Anolis sagrei: one gene and its partner. The protein of the gene in region 1 interacts with the protein of each later gene in a biochemical or structural test. Links are inferred from orthologs where the notes say so. Each region holds a gene or a part of one and is shown on either strand. Other genes may lie near its edges.

Region 1 (7,111 bases):
GATGTTTATAACTTAGGGAATACCTGTATATGTGTGTGCATATATACATATATATCAGCAATGGACAAACTTCGGCCCTCCAGGTGTTATGGATGTTTGTAACTCAGGGACTACCTGTATGTGTGTGTGTGTACAGACATGGGTAAACTTTGGCTCTCTGGGTGTTTTGGACTTCAACTCCCACAATTCCTGACAGTGGCTGTTAGGAATTGTGGGAGTTGAAGTCCAAAACACCTGGAGGGCCAAAGTTTACCCATGCCTGACACACACACATATACATGGGAGATAGATACAGTATCACAATTTTGGAAGGGACACCAAAGGCCATCCAGTCTGACAATGACTCTTCCGAGAGTGGATTTCCCTTCCTTCCGAGAGGAAGATTCCTCTCACTTCCTGTTGTCTCAGCCCCGTTTTTAACTAGGAGTCATTTGTAAGTCAGATGTTTTAAACTCAGGGACTACCTGTAGGTGCATGTGTGTGATACACACATATGACAGATAGAACTAGTATCATAAATTTGGAAGGGACCCCTAAAGGCCACCCAGTCTTTCCCCCTGACGATGAATCTTCCGAGAGTGGATTTCCCTTCCTTCCGAGAGGAAGATTCCTCTCACTTCCTGTTGTCTCAGCCAGGTTTTTTTAACTAGGAGTCATTAGTAAGCCAGATGTTTGTAACTCAGGGACTACCATATGACAGATAGAACTAGTATCATAAATTTGGAAGGGACCTCCAAAGACCACCCAGTCTTTCCCCCTGATGATGACTCTTCCAGGAGAGGATTTTCCTTCCTTCCGAGAGGAAGATTCCTCTCACTTCCTGTTGTCTCAGCCTCGTTTTTAACTAGGAGTCATTTGTAAGTCAGATGTTTTAAACTCAGGGACTACCTGTAGGTGCATGTGTGTGATTTATGATAGAACTAGTATCATAAATTTAGAAGGGATCCCCAAAGACCACCCAGTATTTCCCCCTGATGATGACTCTTCCGAGAGTGGATTTCCCTTTCTTCCAATGGAAAGATTGCTCTCACATCTTGTTGTCTCAGTCGCGTTTTTAACGAGGAGTCATTTGTAAGTCGGATGTTTGTAACTCAGGGACTACCATATGACAGATAGAACTAGTACCATAAATTTGGAAGGGACCCCCAAAGGCCACCCAGTCTTTCCCCCTGACTCTTCCAAGAGTAAATTTCCCTTCTTTCCGAGGGGAAGATTGCTCTTGTTGTCTCAGCCAGGCTTTTAACTAGGAGTTATTTGTAAGTCGGATGTTTGCAACTCAGGGATTACCATATGACAGATAGAACTAGTATCATAAATTTGGAAGGGGCCCCCAAAGGCCACCCAGTCTTTCCCCCTGACAATGACTCTTCCGAGAGTGGATTTCCCTTCCTTCCGAGGGGAAGATTCCTCTCACTTCCTGTTGTCTCAGCCCTGTTTTGAACTAGGAGTCATTTGTAAGTCAGATGTTTGTAACTCAGGGACTACCATATGACAGATAGAACTAGTATCATAAATTTGGAAGGGACCCCCAGAGACCACCCAGTCTTTCCCCCTGACAATAACTCTTCCGGGAGTGGATTTCCCTTCCTTCCGAGGGGAAGATTGCTCTCACTTCTTGTTGTCTCAGCCAGGTTTTTAACTAGCAGTCATTTGTAAGTCAGATGTTTGCAACTCAGGGACTACCATATGACAGATAGAACTAGTATCATAAATTTGGAAGGGACCCCCAAAGACCACCCAGTCTTTCCCCCTGATGATGACTCTTCCGAGAGTGGATTTCCCTTCCGATTCCTCTCACTTCCTGTTGTCTCAGCCAGGTTTTTAACCAGGAGTCATTTAAGTCAGATGTTTGTAACTCAGGGATTACCATATGACAGATAGAACTAGTATCATAAATTTGGAAGGGACCCCCAAAGACCACCCAGTCTTCCCCCTGATGATGACTCTTCCGGGAGTGTATTTCCCTTCCTTCCGAGGGGAAGATTCCTCTCACTTCTTGTTGTCTCAGCCAGGTTTTTAACTAGGAGTCATTTGTAAGTCGGATGTTTGCAACTCTAGGACTACCATATGACAGATAGAACTAGTATCATAAATTTGGAAGGGACTCCCAAAGTCTTTCCCCCTGATGATTACTCTTCCGAGAGTGGATTTCCCTTCCTTCCGATTCCTCTCACTTCCTGTTGTCTCATCCAGATTTTTAACCAGGAGTCATTTAAGTCAGATGTTTGTAACTCAGGGACTACCATATGACAGATAGAACTAGTATTCTAAATTTGGAAGGGACCCCCAAAGACCACCCAGTCTTTCCCCCTGACAATGACTCTTCCGGGAGTGGATTTCCCTTCCTTCCGATTCCTCTCACTTCCTGTTGTCTCGGCCAGGTTTTTAACTAGGAGTCATTCGTGAGTCGGATGTTTGCAACTCTGGGACTACCATATGACAGATAGAACTAGTATCATAAATTTGGAAGGAACCCCCAAAGGCCACCCAGTCTTTCCCCCTGATGATGACTCTTCCGGGAGTGGATTTCCCTTCCTTCTGAGGGGAAGATTCCTTTTACTTCCTGTTGTCTCAGCCAGGTTTTGAACTAGGAGTCATTTGCAACTCTGGGACTACTATATGACAGATAGAACTAATATAATGGAGTGGGTTCCTCCCACTTCCTGTTGTCTGAGCTTCGTTTGACCTAGGACACGTTTGTAAGTCAGGTGTTTGCAACCCGGGGACGGCTTGTATATAAAAAATGACCAGGATTGGCTTTGACAGCTTTCTGCCTTCAAGAGGAAGGCCTTCTCAGCCAGGAGGGCGCGAGGGAGGGAAGACAGTGGAGGGGAGAAGAGTTCCCTGCAGCAAGGGACCTGACGGTGAGGCCCAACTCCGACCCGGCCAGGCAGGGCCGGGCAGGGCCCAGTGTTCCCCTCCCTCCCTTCCTTCCTTCCTGGCGGGTCCTCCCCTTCCTGCCTCCTCCGGGCCCCGGCTCCCTCCCCGGCTCCCTCGCTCACTCACCGGGCCGGGTCCCGGCGGCAAAGGCGGCGGCGGCAGCGGCGGTAGAACCAGCAGCCTGGCATCCAAAATGGCGGCGGCGCGGCCTCAGCACCGCTCCCGCAGGCGGAAGGATACCGTGCCGGATCTCACTCAGGCTCTCTCTCTACCTCTCTCTGGCCCGTCTTTCCTTCTTTCCTTACTCGTTCCCCTTCCGGAGAAGCCCCGCCGCGGCCTCCCTTCCTCCCCTTCCCTGACTAATAAGCGAGGCGTCCTCTAGCAGCAGATTACCGAGGGACTATTTCCCTCCGCGGAGGCATCCGGGGTGAAGGGTGAGAGGCCGTGCGTGGCAGGCACTGATGACGTCACGCGCTTGCCGAGTCACCGCTGCGCCTCTCCCTCCTTCCCTCTCTCCCTCCGCCCGTCAGTTCCTCCGAGAACGGCTTTGTGTCCCAAGGAGAAGGGCTCGGGGCCTCTTCTCAGGTCAAGGGGCGGAGCTGGAGTTCTTTGGTTCCCTCCTCGGCTCCCTCCCTCCCTCGCCATCGCTCCTATTGGGGCGGGGACGGCTTCCTCCGCCGTCGCCTTGGCAACCACCGACGCGTCATCACTAAAGGCCTGGCTATGCTCTCTTTCTCTACCCCGCGCGCTCTTGCGACGTCACGCCCGCGGCACTTCCGGCGCGCCGAGGAGAGGCCGAGGGCGGGCCCAGGCCCAAGAGGAGGAGGAGGAGGAGGCGGCGGGATGGAGGAGCCTGGCCGCGGTGGGGCCGAGCCAAGCGGGGGAGAAGGAGACGGAGGAGGCGGCGGCTCCGGGGGCGGACAAGAAGAGGAGGAAGGCGGGTGAGAGAGGGAGAAGGAGAGGGGAGGTCTGGGAGGGGAAAAAACCCCAGAAAATTGAGGGATTTGTTTTCGTTTACTTCCAAATAATAATAACAACAACTTTACTCTAGTCCTGTTCCGCCCTCAAATCTGCACATACCCACTTTTCTGGAAATAGGAAAATGGGTTTATATATCTGTGGAATGGCTGGGGTGGGGCAAAGAGCTCTTCTCTGCTAGGGCTAGGTGTGAATGTTTCAGCTGACCACCTTCATTAGCATTTGAAGGCCTGGCTGAGCCTGGGAAAACCTTTTGTTGAGAGGTGCTAAGATGTGCCTGGTTGTTTCCTCTCTGCTGTTTTGCTGTTGTAATTTTAGAGTTTTTTTAATACTGGTAACCAGATTTTGTTCATTTTCATGGTCTCCCTTTCTGTTGAAATTGATCACATGCTTGTGGATTTCAATGGCTTCTCTGTGTAGTCTGACATGGTGATTGTTGGTGTGGTCCAGCATTTCTGTGTACTCAAATAATATGCTGTGTCCAGGCTGGTTCATCAGGTGCTCTGCTATGGCTGACTTCTCTGGTTGAAGTAGTCTGCAGTGCCTTTCATGTTCCTTGATTTGTGTTTGGGCGCTGTGTTTGGTGCGTTTGTCCTAATTCCAACAGACCTCACTACCTCTGAGGATGCTTGCCATAAATGCAGGCGAAACGTCTAGAACATGGCCCTATAGCCCGAAAAACCCCACAAGAACCTAATAACTTTACTCTAGTTCTCTTCCGCCCTCAAATCTGCACATACCCACTTTTCTCCGCTATTGATTGTTTGTTGTTTGGTTATTATAATAATACAGTCCAGTCTCTGGGTTGTTCTAGGTTTTTTGGCTGTATGGCCATGTTCCAGAAGCATTTTTATTAATTATTATTATTAAACTTTATTTGTACCCCGCTAGCATCTCCCGAAGGACTCGATGCGGCTTACAAAGGCCAAGGCCTCAACATAACAACAACAGACAATAACGATGCAAGCAAATTAAAACATAAGCAATAACACAACAAAACATTACACTATTATACAATAAAATCAGGGCCAGGCCAATGAAGGGTTCAGGTTAAAAAAGGTGCTGGATGTGAGAGGTGGTATGTTGGAGTTCTGGGCAAGTGCAATGTGCAGAGAGTATTAAACTCTAGTAAAGTGCTTCTGGGACAAGGTGCTGGAGGTTATCCTATTCTGGAAAGGCACATCGGAATAGCCAGGTCTTCAAGTTCTTCCTAAAGACTGCCAACGTGGGTGCAAGTCTAATGTCTTTGGGGAGGGTGTTCCAAAGTCGGGGGGCAACCACAGAGAAGGCCTTGTCCCTCGACCCCACCAAACGCGCCTGCGACGCAGGTGGGATCGCGAGCAGGGCCTCTCCGGATGAACGAAGTGAGCGTGTGGGTTTGTAAGCGGAGATGCGGTCACGCAGGTAGGCGGGTCTCCTGACGTTTCGCCTGCATCTATGACAGCCATCCTCAGAGGAGCCCCCGGTGGCGCAGTGGGTTAAACCACAGGTCGCAGGTTCGAATCCAGAGAGAACGTGGATGAGCTCTCTCTATCAGCTCCAGCTCCTCATGCGAGAAGCCTCCCACAAGGATGGTAAAAAAAATCAAAACATCCAGGTGTCCCCTGGGCAATGTCCTTGTAAATGGTCAATTCTCTCACACCAGAAGCAACTTGCAGTTTCTCAAGTCACTTCTTACATGATAAAAAAAAATCCTCAGAGGTTGAGGGGTCTGTTGGAAACTAGGAAAAGTGTGTTTCTAAATCTGTGACACAGATAAGGAACTCCCAGTGGCACAGTGGGTTAAAGCGCTGAGCTTGTTGACCGAAAGGTTGCAGGATCGAATCCGGGGATTCGACAGCTTCTGCTGTCAGCCCCAGCTTCTGCCAACCTAACAGTTTGAAAACATGCAAATGTGAGGTGATCAATAGGTACCACTACAGCAGGAAGGTAACGGTGCTCCTTGCAGTCATGCCAGCCACATGACCTTGGAGGTGTCTACAGACAACGCCAGCCTTTCGACTTAGAAATGGAGATGGCCACCAACCCCCAGAGTCGGACACGCCTGGACTTACTGTCAAGAGAAAACCTTTACCTTTACTATATCTGTGATATTGAAACCCCAACCTTTCCAACTGGAATAGAAATAAACTTTGGTGGCCTTTCTTCAACCTGGTGAGAATTATTTGGGGAAAGGGAAAATCTTACTGGCTTTAATAGCTCACCAGGCATTTTGCGAATCCTCAGGACCCCTTGAAAGGATAGCAGTCTCAGACTCAGCAGCCTTCCCAAGGGGGATTTTTCTGCCTTCCGCTGGTCCCTGCTTGCTGCAGGACTCCCAATTTCTGCTCAGTTGGAGCCCCCAGTGGTGCAGTGGGTGTTAATGTTTCAATTGGCTACCTTGATTAGCATTTAATGGCCTAGTGGTTTTCAAGGTCTGGCTTCTTACTGCCTGGGGGAATCCTTTGTTGAGAGGCAATTAGTGTCCCTGATTGTTTCTTTTTTATTTTTGTTCTTTATTTACTATCCTGATTTTTTAAATACTGGTAGCCAGATTTTGTTCATTTTTATGGTTCCTCCTTTCTGTTGAAATTGATCACATGCTTGTGGATTTCAGTGGCTTCTCTGTGTAACTTGACATGGTAGTTGTTAAAGTGCTCAGCATTTCTGTGTTCTCAAATAATATACTATGTCCAGGTTGATTCATTAGGTGCTCTGCTATAGCTGACTTCTCTGGTTGAAATAGTCTGCAGTGCCTTTCATGTTCCTTTCCACAGATATAATACCCCAATTTCCCTAGTTTCCAACAGACCTCACAACCTCTGAGGATACCTGCCATAGATGCAGGTGAAACGTCAGGAGAGAATGCTTCTAGATCATGGCCATACAGCCCAAAAAACCTACAACAACCCAGAGATTCCAGCCATGAAAGACTTCAACAATACAGTAGAGTCTCGCTTATTCGACATAAACAGGCCAGAAGAATGTTGGATAAACAAAAATGTTGCATAATAATGGAATCTCCTACTGTTAGCCATCCATTAGACATCTAGAATACTAACAACGGTGATTCAAAGGGTTAAGGCAAGGCAATGCCTCAGGGATAGAGCGGCTAAGCAGGAAGTGCCCGGATTCGGAAGAGGAGCATGAAATTTAGAGGACCTCCTCCTCCTCGTCTTACTTTTTTCACTTATTGGGAATGGAGAGAGTTGGTGAGCGCTCCTTCAATTGAAGGTTAAATGCTGGAGGAAAGGGGGGGGGCATTGGATAAGAG
Region 2 (7,012 bases), on another chromosome or scaffold:
CATTGCAGCTGGGGAGTCCTATTGGCTTTAATATTTATTTATCGTTTCATCAGCAACCATACCATTGTATTACAATTCTAACAGAGCAAAACAAACACACAGATTGAAAAGAAAAAGATTTTGCAAATTTGGTAGTTGGTTAAATGTCCTTTGACCAGTATCTGGCCACTTGGAGTGCCTCTGTGTCCTCCATCGTGCATGTGGCTGGGCTCAGGGTGCATTGCAGCAGGTGGTCAGTGGTTTGTTCTTCTCCGCACTCGCATGTTGTGGATTCCACTTTGTGGCCCCATTTCTGAAGATTGGCTCTGCATCTCGTGGTGCCAGAGCGCAGTCTGTTCAGGGCCTTCCAAGTCGCCCAGTCTTCTGTGTGCCCAGGGGGGAAGTCTATCATCTGGTATCACCCATGGATTGAGGTACTGGGTTTGGGCCTGCCACTTTTGGACTCTTGCTTGCTGGGGTGTTCCAGCGAGTGTCTCTGTAGATCTAAGAAAACTATGTCTTGATTTGAGTCGTTGACGTGCTGGATGATACCCAAACGGGGATGAGCTGGAGATGTCTCTGCCTTGGTCCTTTCACTATTGGCTGCTACTTCCCGGCGGATGTCAGGTGGTGCAATACCGGCTAAGCAGTGTAATTTCTCCTGTGGTGTGGGGCGCAGACACCCCGTGATAATGCGGCATGTCTCATTAAGAGCCACATCTACTGTTTTAGTGTGGTGAGATGTGTTCCACACTGGGCATGCGTACTCAGCAGCAGAGTAGCATAGCGCAAGGGCAGATGTCTTCACTGTGTCTGGTTGTGATCCCCAGGTTGTGCCAGTCAGCTTTCGTATGATGTTGTTTCTAGCGCCCACTTTTTGCTTGATGTTCAGGCAGTGCTTCTTGTAGGTCAGAGCACGGTCCAAAGTGACTCCCAGGTATTTGGGTGTGTTGCAATGCTCCAGTGGGATTCCTTCTCAGGTAATCCTCAGAGCTCGGGATGCTTGTCTGTTCTTAAGGTGAAAGGCGCATGTCTGTGTTTTAGATGGATTAGGGATCAGTTGGTTTTCCCTGTAATAGGCAGTAAGAGCACCTAGAGCTTCGGAGAGCTTCTGTTCTACCATCTCAAAGCTCCCTGCTTGAGCAGTAATGGCACGATCATCAGCATAGATGAAACTCTCTGTCCCTTCTGGCAGTGGCTGGTCATTTGTGTAGATGTTGAACATGGATGGAGCAAGCATGCTCCTCTGAGGCAGGCCGTTCTTCTCTTTCCGCCATCTGCTTCTCTGGCCCTGGGACTCAACAAAAAAGCTCCTGTTTTGTAGCAGGTTTCCTATGAGGCGGGTGAGGTGGTCGTCCTTTGTGATATTATACATTTTTCTCAAGAGGAGGCAATGGTTCACAGTATCATAGGCTGCTGACAGGTCTATGAAGACAGCTCCTGTGATCTGCTGCCTTTCAAAGCCATCTTCTATGTGCTGAGTCAGGTTCAGCACTTGCGATGTGCAGCTTTTGCCTTTTCTGAAGCCATCTTGCTGTGGAATCAGACAGGGGTCTATTTTTTCCGCAATTCTATGCAAAATAAGTCTCTCCAGAACTTTGTAGAGGTGGCACAACAGGGAGATTGGTCTGTAGCTTTTTGGGTCATTACGGTCTTTGCCTGGCTTCAAGATGGCGATGACTCTTGCTTTCCTCCAGATTTTGGGGATCTGACAGGATGCAGTGCAGTTGTTCATCAGCTCCAGCAGCCAGCGCCTTGCTTTTGGACCAAAGTTCTTGATTTGTTCCATCCGTAGATCATCCAGGCCAGCTGCTTTGCCATTCTTACATTTGTTGAGAGCCATGTCCAATTCTGTAGATGTAAAAGGTTCATGAAGGTTGTTGAAGGGGCAGAATATCAAGGAGGTGCAATTCCCTTGGTGGCCAGGTGATGGCAGAAAATGATTGCCCATTGCAGCTGGGGAGTCCTATTGGCTTTAATGAAGAGGCAGAATATCAAGGAGGATGCAATTCCCTCTGTGTATACAAATATGCATATGCACATTTATATATACATATATATGTAGGTGTATACATGTATGCATGTGTACATATACACATATACACACATATATGTAGGTGTATATATGCATATAGAGGTAGGTATATACATATATGCATGTGTACACACACATATATACACATATATGTAGGTATCCCTCGTAGACCGAGGATGACGGTCCTCCAAGTGTAGTATCCTGGCAGTGGGTCCGTAGGTGACTGTGGAGCCCTATTCTTGATCTGCATGTTCTCCCACTGTGAGGGCATCGGTTTCCAGGTGGAAAGCGGTCCCGGTCGGGGTTGGCTTGACGCGCCTTCCTCTTGGCACGTTTCTTTCTTTTGCCCTCAATTCGTGCCTCTTCAAATTCTGCAGCACTGCTGGTCACAGCTGACCTCCAACTGGAGTGCTCAAGGGCCAGGGCTTCCCAGTTCTCAGTGTCTATGCCAGAGTTTTGAAGGTTGGCTTTGAGCCCATCTTTCAATCTCTTTTCCTGTCCTCCAACATTCCGCTTTCCGTTCTTGAGTTCAGAACAGAAGGGATATATGCATATAAATGTAGGTGTATACATGTATGTAGGAACCTCCAGTGGCGCAGTAGGTTAAAGCGCTGAGCTGCTGAGCTTGTTGACCAAAAGGTCGCAGGTTCGAATCCTGGGAGCGGCATGATCTCCCGCTGTTAGCCCCAGCTTCTGCCAACCTAGCAGTTTGAAAACATGCAAATGTGAGTAGATCAATAGGTACCTCTCTGGCCTGGAAGGTAAGGGTGCTCCATGCAGTCATGCCAGCCACATGACCTTTGAGGCGTCTATGGACAACGCCGGCTCTTTGGCTTAGAAATGGAGATGAGCACCAGAGTCCCAGAGTTGGACACCATTGGACTTCATGTCAGGGGAAACCTTCACCTTTACTATACATATATGCATGTGTACATATACACACATATATACACATATATGTAGGTATATATACACATAGATGTAGGTCTATACATGTATGCATGTGTACATATACACAGATATAGGTAGGTGTAAATATATATATATGTAGGTGTATACATATATGCATGTGTACATATACACATATAAACGCACATATATGTAGGTGTCTATATACATATATATGTAGTTGTATACATATATGCATGTGTACATATACACATATATGTAGGTGTCTATATACATATATATGTAGGTGTATACATATATGCATGTGTACATATATACATATATGTAGGTATATATACACATACATGTAGGTCTATACATGTATGCATGTGTATATATACAGAGATATAGGTAGGTGTAAATATATATATATATATATGTGTAGGTGTATACATATATGCACGTGTACATATACACACATATACACATATATGTAGGTGTCTATATACATATATATGCAGGTGTATACATGTATGAATATGTACATGTATACATATATGCATGTGTACATATACACATATACTCAAATTTATGTAGGTGCATACATATATGCATGTGTACACGTACACACATATATGTAGGTATTTATATGTAGACATATACACATACGTAAATATATATGAAAACGCATATATGCAGGTGTGTGTATACGTGCATATACATATGTGCATATGTACATATCGTATCCTATCCGATTTGTCCTCTATCCACTCCTTTGAGCTTCATGCAAATCTACCATTTTTCCAAAATATAAGACCTAAACATACAGAAATGTAGAGATGAGTGAAATTAACCTGAGCGGCTGTCAGGCATTGTGGGAACTGAAGTCCAACACGCCTGCTCTCCAGGCTCTCTGTGGGGCTCTTCCTGGTTGTTCAAACTCCAACTCCCAGAATCCTTTGGCGCGCCGGCGAATGGCGAGGCCTGCCGGGAGCTGAAGTCCAAGGCGCCTGAGAGGCCAGGCTGCTTTCGCCCCGCCCCTTTTCCCCGCTTCCGCTCAGGAGGCGAGGAGGCCGGAAGTGAGCGCGCTGACAGGAGCCGGGCAAGATGGCGCTGCGGCCGGGCCTGGGGGCTGGGCCCGGCGCTCCCTCCGCCGCCTCTCCTCCGGCGCCGGGCGGACCGGGAGGAGGAGGAAGGAGCCCCGGCCCGGGCAGGTCAGCAGGCCCAGGCGGGCAGGAGGGAGGCGGGAAGGGAGAGGCTTTGAAGGGAGGAGGCCTTGAAGGGAGAAGGCATTAGATGGAGAAGGCCTTGAAGGGAAGGGAGAAGGCCTCAACAGGAGAAAGCCTTGGAGGGAGAAGGTCTTGAAGGGAGAAAGCCTTGGAGGGAGAGGCTTTGAAGGGAAGGGAGAAGGCCTCGAAAGAAGAAGGTCTTGGAGAGAAAAGGCCTCGGAAGGAGAAAGTCTTGGAGAAGGCCTTGAAGGGGAGAGGCTTTGGAGGGAGAGGGTCTCAAAGGGAGGAGGCCTCGATGGGAAGGGAGAATAATAATAATAATATCGAACTGCAAAGATTCTGGCACAAACCAGTCAAGGTGGTCCCAGTGGTGACTGTCACACTGAGTGCAGTGCCTAAAGACCTTGGCCTGCACTTAAACACAATCGGCACTGACAAAATTATCATCTCTCCGAACGTATTCTCCCCTACGAACCATCAAGATTATTAAGATCATCTGGAGAGGCCCTGCTCTCGGTCCCACCAGCCTCGCAAGCGCACCTGGTGGGGACGAGGGACAGGGCCTTCTCGGTGGTGGCCCCGCGACTCTGGAACTCTCTCCCTCTGGAGGCCAAAACCGCCCCATCCATCCTAACATTTAGGAAACGGGTGAAGACGTGGCTGTGGAGTCAGGCCTTTGAGGAATGAGACAACACCATAGGACCCTGGATGGAAGCTGATGTAGATCCATCTTAATAGGACGACTGACCACTGTAGTTTTATATATAGTGTTTTTAAAGTTGTTTTTGTAATTGTGATATATGATATTTTAATGAGTGTATATGTTTTTTATGGCTGGAAACCGGGCTGAGTCCCTCAATGAGGTTGAGAAGCTCGGTATAGAAAACTGTGAAATAAATAATAAATAAATCTGCCAGCTGCAGAAGGCTACCTTACTGGGATCTGCACGCATTACTTGCCAATACATCACACAGTCCGACGTGTGATCCAATACAACAGCCAGCAGAGTGTCTGCTGTGGACTCATCTTGTTGTGTTTCAAATAATAATCATAATCATATATATATATATATATTGTCATGTCAGGAGCAACCGTTCCTGTTGTGAGAGAATTGGACGTCTGCAAGGACGTTGCCCAGGGGACGCCTGGATGATTTGTGATACTTTATCATCCTTGTGGGAGGCTTCTCTCATGTCCCCACATGAGGAGCTGGAGCTAACAGAGGGAGCTCATCCGCTTCTCCCCGGATTCGAACCTGCGACCTGTCAGTCTTCAGTCCTGCCAGCACAGTGCTTTAACCCACTGCACCACCGGGGGCTCCTAATAATAAAACTTTATTTATACTCCGCCACCATCTCCCCAACGGGCTAACATGAGGCCAATCCCAAAGAATTACAACAAATCAAAACAAAATACATACAGCAATTAATAACATCAAATGAAATATAAACAAAACAACTTAATACAAAATCAACATTTATTTATTTATTTACCGCATTTATATGCCGCCCTTCTCACCCCAAAGGGGACTTAGAGCGGCTTACAAAATATATTTTCACACAATATATTATATTATTAGTATAGAACAATATCAGTATTATATATTACTATATTGCACTATACTGTTATATTGTATAATACACAAAAATGAAATAAGAAAACAAAAATGAGAAGGCCTCGAAGGGAGAAGGCCTTGGATAACCCAGAGGGTTCTTCTTCCCACTGCTTCTTCTTCATCCTGGAAAGAAGTGACAAGCAGAGTGCCACAAGCAGGGTTCCTTCCTGGGCCCAGTCCTGCTCAGGATCTTCATTCATGACTGAGATCCATGGTTCTCAAACTGTGGGTCTCCAGATGGCTGGGATTTCTGGGAATTGTAGGTCAAAACACCTAGGGACCCACAGGTTGAGAACCACTGACTTAGATGAAGGGTTAGAAGGCAGGATCATCGAGTTTGCAGATGACACCAAATTGGGAGAGATAGCCAATAATCCAGAAGACAGGAGCAGGATTCAAAACTATCTTAACAGATTAGAGAGATGAATGGCCAAAACTAACACAATTAAGTTCAACAGGGACAAATGTAAGATACTCCACTTAGGCAGGAAAGAAAGGAAATGCAGAGATACAGAATGGAGGACGAGGCCTGGCTCGACAGCAGGACCTGTGGAAAAGATCTTGGAGTCCTTGTGAGGAGGAAGGGGAACAGGAGCCAAGAACATGATGCAGTGGCAAAAAAGCCAATGGGATTTTGGTCTGCATCAATAGGAGTCTAGTGCCTTGATCCAGGGATGTCATGCTCCCCATGATCTATTCTGCCTTGGTTAGACCGCACGGGAATACTGTGTCCAATTCTGGGCACCACAATTGAAAGGAGATGTTGACAAGCTGGAATGTGTCCAGAGGAAAGCGACTAAAAGGACCAAGGGTCTGGAGAACAAGCCTTATGAGGAGCGGCTTAAAGAGCTGGGCATATTTAGCCTGCAGAAGAGAAAACTGAGAGGAGACGTGATAGCCATGTATAAATAAGTGAGAGGAAGTCATAGGGAGGAGGGAGCAAGCTTATTTTCTGCTGCCCTGGGGATTAGGATACAATGGCTTCAAACTACAAGAAAGTAGATTCCATCTGAACATGAGGAAGAACTTCCTGATTGTGAGAGCCGTTCAGCAGTGGAACTCTCTGCCCCGGAGTGTGGTGGAGGCTCCTTCTTTGGAGGATTTTAAACAGAGGCTGGGTGGCCATCTGTCAGGGATGCTTTGAATGCAATTTTCCTGCTTCTTGGCAGAATGGGGTTGGACTGGATGGCCCATGAGGTCTCTTCCAACTCTAGGATTCTATTATTCTAAGGCCTTGAAGGGAGAAGACCTTGAAGGGAAGGGAGA

The links. The genes of interacting proteins can lie anywhere in the genome.
Region 2: the proteins of AP1G1 (region 1) and SYNRG form a complex in vitro, tested with the Homo sapiens proteins (2 studies listed by BioGRID). The link is inferred for Anolis sagrei from reciprocal best matches to the Homo sapiens genes AP1G1 and SYNRG.

Annotation. Positions count from the first base shown.
Region 1 is NC_090028.1:29,558,095-29,565,205, reverse strand, and holds the start of AP1G1 (AP-1 complex subunit gamma-1), read right to left. Parts: upstream 3,103-7,111; 5' UTR 3,007-3,102; intron 1-3,006. UniProt on the Homo sapiens protein: Subunit of clathrin-associated adaptor protein complex 1 that plays a role in protein sorting in the late-Golgi/trans-Golgi network (TGN) and/or endosomes.
Region 2 is NC_090031.1:24,068,164-24,075,175, reverse strand, and holds the start of SYNRG (synergin gamma), read left to right. Parts: upstream 1-3,965; 5' UTR 3,966-4,009; coding exon 4,010-4,116; intron 4,117-7,012. UniProt on the Homo sapiens protein: Plays a role in endocytosis and/or membrane trafficking at the trans-Golgi network (TGN). May act by linking the adapter protein complex AP-1 to other proteins. Component of clathrin-coated vesicles.